2 linked regions of the Ovis aries genome follow. The protein of the gene in region 2 purifies or fractionates together with the protein of the main gene of each other region. This does not show direct contact. Links are inferred from orthologs where the notes say so. Each region holds a gene or a part of one and is shown on either strand. Other genes may lie near its edges.

Region 1 (2,976 bases), on a different chromosome or scaffold from region 2:
ACTGGTGCCCGGAGGAGTAGAACCTTCTCCTACTTAACTCTGTATTTGCAGACCCTAGCTCAGGACTGACAAAAATAAATTTTTGCTGTGTTGAAAACCCCACTCTTTCACTAGCCGTGATTTTACATAAATTGTTTATTAAGACTGAAAGACAGCCATCCCTCTGTATCCTCGGGTTCTCCATCCACAGATTCACCCAACCGTGAACTGAAGATATATATATTTTTTAATTCCAATTATAAAAGACGAAACTTGAATTTACCATGCACCAGTAAACTATTCACATCGCATTGGATATTATAAGCAATCTAGAGATTATATAGAGTATACAGTGCAAATACTATGCCATTTCATATAACGGACTTGAGCATCCACGGATTTTGGTATACATGGGTTGGGGACGGGAGTCGGGGGAGTCCCGGAACCAATCCTACCAACCCTTCACCACCTATACGGACGGTGGACTGTACCTCTCTCCCCATCTGCAGCAGCACTGTGTCAGCTGTCCGGTTACCTTCACTTTGGGCAGCTGGCGGGGAAAGAGGCTATTCAACTCCACTACAAACCCTTAAAAGGCTGGATAAAGGAACTTAGAAAAGATGCAGACACGCAGGCGACCAACAGTAGAGAGGTGTCGGGGCGATGAGCATCAAAGCAAGAATTTTAGACGTCAGGCTGGGTGAGGGGGCCTCAAGCCCATAGAAGAGAATCCTCGACATTGAGGGGTTCCCATCCCAGCGGATCCACACTGGAGAACCGCGGGTCCGGACGCGAAATGTCCGCGCCAGCCCAGTTCCGCAACACTTGGTCTCCGCCCTCCCGCCTTTGTCAGGTAGCGGCTGGATGGGCGGGGAATAAAGGAAGGAGGCCTAAGGGAGGAGCGAACGTGGCGTGGGAGGAACGAGTCGTGGGGCGCGTGACGTCACCCCTGGTGTGTGCGTAAGGTGAACGGAAGCGGAAGCGGCTCTGTTCGCCGCCTCTCCCACCGGCCCGATGAGCTGCAGCGGCTCCGGCGCGGACCCCGAGGCGGCGCCGGCCTCCGCCGCCTCGGCCCCGGGCCCGGCGCCCGCGGTCTCGGCCCCCGCCGCGCTGCCCGCCGGCACCGCCGCGGAGAACAAGGCCAGCCCCGCGGGGACGTCAGGGGGGCCTGGGGCTGGAGCCGCGGCAGGGGGCACTGGAGCCGTGGCGGCGCGGGCCGGGGAGCCTGCCGAGCGGCGCGGGGCGGGTGAGGGCCGGGACGGGTGAGGGCGAGGGCCGCGCTTTGGGCTGGGCCCAGCGGCGGGTGAGGGCAGAGGGTAAGACACACCTAGCGGAACCCTCGAGCCTCCCACCTCCGTGTCTCAGTTTGCTGGTTTTCCTCCAGCTCCAGTGACGACCGGCGGCGCGGCGCCCCCGGAGGGGGCCATGTCTAACGGGGTTTACGTGCTGCCAAGCGCGGCCAACGGAGAGGTGAAGCCAGTGGTGTCCAGCACGCCTCTAGTGGACTTCCTGATGCAGCTGGAGGATTACACGCCTACGGTGGGCTTCCTGCCTGAACAAGGCTAATGACTCGCTGTCACGCCAACTTCTGCCACACCATCTGGATTTGCAGCATCCTCTTGTGTTTCTCTTCCTAGCTTTTGTGATTTTTCCCTTCTGCCCACCCAAACTGGGAGCTTCCTGATAGCCAGGCCTGCCCTCCATTTCCCTTACCCCGACTCTCAGCCCCGCTGTACACAGGGCTAACGCTTACAGTCGTCTAATTGATTTCTCAGATCCCTGATGCAGTGACTGGTTACTACCTGAACCGTGCTGGCTTTGAGGCCTCCGACCCACGCATGTGAGTAAACTCTGGGCAGGTTAGAGTGTTGGGTGTTTGTGTGGAGTTTATTGTCTATGCTCTTCTCATACCATTTTTTTCTCTCCAGAATTCGGCTCATCTCCCTAGCTGCCCAGAAATTCATCTCAGATATTGCCAACGATGCCCTACAGCACTGCAAAATGAAGGGCACAGCCTCTGGCAGCTCCCGAAGCAAGAGCAAGGTGTGAGGGGAGGCTCATTGATTCAGTAATTACTTCCTACAGCAGCAGAGGCTTAAATTATCCTGAAACCCCTTTGAGGGAAATTAAGCCTTAGGGGAGGTGAAAGACCTACTCAGGGTCACCTGCCTGGGATTGAAATCTGGAATTCCTGTGTTCAGCTGGTGCTCTTCCCTCTTCCCTCAGGACCGCAAGTACACTCTAACCATGGAGGACTTGACCCCTGCCCTCAGCGAGTATGGCATCAATGTGAAGAAGCCGCACTACTTCACCTGAGCCACCCAGTCTAAATGTACTTGTCTGTTCTCTTGTCCCCACACCAGCCTGTTTTCATAATAAACTTTATTGTGACAGGCAGGGCTGATCCCTCCCATGCTGGGAGACACCGTGTGGCAAGTGACAAAGCTTTGAGCCCATTCCCTTTTGGGGCCACAGTGGTAGGGATGGGGGCAGGGGATGGGCCCCATGGCTGGGGTAGTACCATGACTAGTGGCAGGGGAGGCAACCAGAGGCCTACTGCTTTGGGGAGGTGCACTCCCCTAACCGTGTCCTGACACCTCTGGAGTTCAGATAAGGACTTTCCAGCTCTACTTGTCCTGCATCTTCTCCAGGATAGGCACGATCATGTCAAACTTGGGCCGCTTAGCAGGGTCTTCATTCATGCAGATCTTCATGAGTTTACAAACGTGGGGGGAAATGCCTGGTGGGATGGTAGGCCGAAGGCCTTCCAATGCCACCTGCAAACACAAGGAAAAACAAGGTGAGTCTCAGAACTTGAGTCTCATGTCGGGAGAGACGTCTAGCCCTCAGGACAGGATTCTGTGTATTTGAATCAATGTGGCAGGAGCCCAGCCCCACTACAATTATTGTCACTACCACCACAAGTATATCCAGTTATGCTCTCACCTTCATTCCAATTTCCATGTTGGAGAGGTCAGCAAAGGGTACCTCCCGTGT
Region 2 (3,746 bases):
TGAAAATAACCAGAGAGGAAGTGGGGGTGATAGAAGGATCACAGGCCCTCCCTCGATTCCCCTGCCCCTCCACCTCCACCCTCCAGCAACAAGTCCCAGAAGACATAGTTAGAATCACTCCCATTGTTCCACCCCACTTACCATTTTTGTGTTTTAAAGACTTGGATCTTCGAGGGGAATTGGGGTTCTGGAATGGGAGATACCATAGCTTTGGGGAAAGGGTAACGATAAGGGGGAGCCGAGAACCCAGGGAAGGAAAAAAGATTTGACAAACATCCTCAAATTTCTACTCTTTCCCACCAGTAAGAGGCCTTTCACCCATACTCCCTCCTCCCACCTACCCCCCAGGCCTCTGCTGCCCTCCTGCCCACCAGACACCCTCGGCCCTGAACCCAGAGAGGTACCCAGTGACCTCAGACTTGAGTCAAGACACCCGAGGACTCCCTGCCCAAAGGGGAGGGTATCTGTCCTTGGCCCAAATCTCCCTCATGCTTGCCCCGGCTCTTACCTTGTCTGATTTTCTCTTCTTGGCTGTGTAGGACAAAAGGGTAAAGGGCAGGGTCACTTTAAGTTCCCAATCTAAGAGCACCTAAAGAAAAGTTACAAAGCTACACTCTCCTCCCTCATTAGGGATAACAACTTGTGACTGTTACACACTCAATTCCTGCCTGCCTGCCTCACCCCGATGGCCCTCCCAATTCCCCAGATGCCCAAACACCTTTCTTCTCTGAGCCATAGGACCAGTCGTTGTCATTGATGTCATCATTATCCTCTTGGTCACTCTCTGACTTGTTCATGTTGTTGCTATTGGCAATCCTGCCGAGGGGAGGGAAGAGGAAGGGTCAAGGCTGCCATCTCTCTCTGCCCGACTTCACACGTAGAGGGGAGCATCTGGGGCCAGGCGCGACCCACCCTCTATACCCTCCAAATGTCCCAGGGGGTGGTGGGGAACTCCACCATGGGATGGGCTGCAAAAGATGGGCACTCTGGTTCTAGCAGAAGAAGCCCTCACCGGCGGTTGGCGATTCGGCTGCTGTTCCGACCCATTCCTAGGCACTTCTCCAGGTGGGGAGCAAAACGGGAGGCGGCAATGCTTCGGCTGCAATTGGGGCAAACACACTCCTTGCTCTTCCACTGGTTGAAAACCTGTCCAAAGATGTCCAAACCCGGCTGGTCCACGATCTCTGGGGACAGGAGAGACGTAGCGATCAGGGCAGGCAAGGGGCCCTTACCTCTCGTTCCCACCCATGGCCCTGTGGCCTCTTCAGAGCCCCTGCCTAAGCTCCCAGGAGCTCTAGGTTCTACCTCTGGTGTGGTTGCTGGAGAAGGACCCTCCAAGCACTCCCAGGGAAGGGCTAGGCTGCTCTCCTTCAACCCTGACGCTCACCAAAATCCTTCATGCTCTCAGGGTCCGTGTCGTCCAGGAAGAAGTAGCCACACTTGACAGCCCGGTGTACCTCAAAGCAGAATCCCAAACAAGAATCCTCAACCAGGTCCGCGTATATCTCCTGAGCGATGGCCTGGGCCCAGGGGAGAACATCCAGGGTCACCAGAGTCACAGTCCCATGGACTGAGGGCAACTCTCACCAACCAAATCTCCTGCCAATTCGCCCTGGCCAAAAATAAAGCTTCCTTTGCCATTTTTTCCCATCTTGATTTTGAGTTCTTTCTTCTTCCGGATCCTTGGGCCTTCTTAGCTGGCTCTTCCCTTTAAGGAACAAGGCTGACTACCCAAATTCCTCTCTGGTGTGGATTCCAGATATAGCGAAGGACAGACATCAAGAGAAAGAACTGGAGGCACACGTGGGGGAGCCCTCACCTCTAGTTTGCTGTTATCCAGGCCAGACAAAGACATTTCCTCCATTTTCATTTGTGAACTCTTGTGGAGACGGTGCTCTGACTGCTCATAGCACAGCGGGCGGCAACACGGCTGCACACATGTGGGGGGGATGTTGGTGTGAGTCCAAGGCACCTCCGATGGCTGCCACCTCCCCTCCCCACCTCGCTGCCCAGAGCTTAATGGTGGCATCAAGATCTACCTCTCCCTAAGGCCTCGGTTAAGTCTGGATGGTCCTGCAGGGCCTGAAACCCAAGGGCGGCCTAGTCCTTCCCAGGCCTGAACTCAGGCCCTGGACTCTTACTGCCAATCAGAGTCTGGGTTTACAGGAGGCGGCAGCTCACCCCAGGTTCCCAAAACTCAAACCCCTCTTCCATACCCATGGTGCAATGCAGCAGGGGGAGGAGAAGGAACTCTAAGGCCTCAAAGCAAACCCACAGGGTGTGGCAAAGAACTGCACAGACTCCTAAATACACTCCCCCCCCTCCCCAGGCTCTCCTCAGAGTCACCTCTGCTTTCAGCCAGGATGTCCACTTGGGGGGGTACTGCTACCAGAAGTAGCAATGGCCCTAGGACCCTACAACCTTCACCCCACTCTGTCTTCCCTTGAAATAAGCCTGCCACTACAGACGGAGAGCAGAGCCCACAGAAACCTAGAGCTAAAAGGCCATCCTAGCCACCATGAGCAAGAAAAAGGAGGTAGAATCCGGTGGGATGGCATGCCAGGAGTGGGCACTCCCCTTACCTGTTCTTCTTTGAGATAACCACCCTCCCTCCCTCAGGACCAGCCCGGAAGTCTCTCCAAGAGCCCCAAAGTCCAGGAATCCCCACCAAAGGATTCAGAAACAGAGCACACAGTCCGGGGCCCCTCTGAACGGTGGGTACGAGTTTAAGGAGCTGCCGGCCTAGAGTGGGGTGGGGACTGACAAATGAGCCGGGGGCACTGGGGAGGGTAGGAGGCCGGGCCTCGGCTCTTCCCCCGTCCCTGCGGCACTGCTGCCGCATCATACCGACTGGGGGGAGGAGAGCCGAGCCGCCGGAGGCCGGCGCCGCTCCGGGACAGACCGACCCCTAGAGAGTGGGCAGAGTGGGACACGTCCCGGCCCCTCTTCTTCCCCGCCCGCCGACAGCCCCGGCCGGCCGGGGAGAGGAGTCCGGGAGGGTGTCTCTATTGTCCCGGGGGCTGGGGCCTGGCTCCCTAACAAAGGCCCCGCGCCCCCTCCCCGGCCGGCCCTGCCCCGCCCAGGGGGGACCCAGACAGGGGGAGAGCTGGGGGCCCCGGCCGGGCCGGGAAGCCGGGGGAAGCCGGGCGTTTCCGCGTCGGCCCTGGGGGAGGGGAAGGGGCGCTGACCCAGACCTGGGGGGAGGGGGCCCAAGCCCCGCCTCGGGCCCCGCCCCCCGCCCCCCACAGGCCCCTCCCCCGTCCCCGTCTCCGTCCCGTACTCACCCCGCCCGGGGGGCCGCGCCGGGGCCCGGCGGCCTCTCAGGGCCGCGTCCTCCGGCGGCGGCGGCGGCGGCGGCTGCTCCGGAGCCCCATGTCCGTCGGTCCGTCCTCGCCTCTCCCCGGGGCCCAGGGCCCGGGGCCGGGGGGTCGGGCCGCCCCCCCGCCTCGCCGCCTCACCGGGCGGCCATGGCCCCTTCCCCTCCCTTCTCGTCCCGTCGCCGCCTCCTCCTCCTCACCTCACCCCGCCCGCGCGCAGTCCGCGCGCCGTCCGCGCGCCCCTCCCCCCGCCCCCCACTCCAGCCCGCCTCTCCCGGGCGGGGGGTGCGGCGCGAGCCCGGAGCGCGCGCGCGTGCCGCGACCGGAGGATGGATGGATGGAGCGAGCGAGAACGCGAGCGTGCGCGCGCGCGCCCCTCTCCCCCTCCCTTCGCGCGGGCGCGAGGCCAAGCGCGAGCGCGCTCCAACC

The links.
Region 1: the proteins of ATXN7L3 (region 2) and TAF10 purify together in Homo sapiens (affinity purification with mass spectrometry; 7 studies listed by BioGRID and IntAct, with this or other methods). This does not show direct contact. The link is inferred for Ovis aries from reciprocal best matches to the Homo sapiens genes ATXN7L3 and TAF10.

The regions. Positions count from the first base shown.
Region 1 is NC_056068.1:46,195,989-46,198,964, forward strand, and holds TAF10 (transcription initiation factor TFIID subunit 10), read left to right. Parts: upstream 1-968; 5' UTR 969-993; coding exon 994-1,225; intron 1,226-1,363; coding exon 1,364-1,518; intron 1,519-1,754; coding exon 1,755-1,819; intron 1,820-1,907; coding exon 1,908-2,022; intron 2,023-2,205; coding exon 2,206-2,295; 3' UTR 2,296-2,376; downstream 2,377-2,976. Other genes in the region: ILK (integrin-linked protein kinase), read right to left, coding at 2,607-2,756, 2,926-2,976. UniProt on the Homo sapiens protein: The TFIID basal transcription factor complex plays a major role in the initiation of RNA polymerase II (Pol II)-dependent transcription.
Region 2 is NC_056064.1:43,751,255-43,755,000, forward strand, and holds the start of ATXN7L3 (ataxin-7-like protein 3), read right to left. Parts: upstream 2,282-3,746; 5' UTR 2,030-2,281; coding exon 1,820-2,029; intron 1,521-1,819; coding exon 1,388-1,520; intron 1,185-1,387; coding exon 1,013-1,184; intron 817-1,012; coding exon 719-816; intron 532-718; coding exon 509-531; intron 209-508; coding exon 142-208; intron 1-141. UniProt on the Homo sapiens protein: Component of the transcription regulatory histone acetylation (HAT) complex SAGA, a multiprotein complex that activates transcription by remodeling chromatin and mediating histone acetylation and deubiquitination.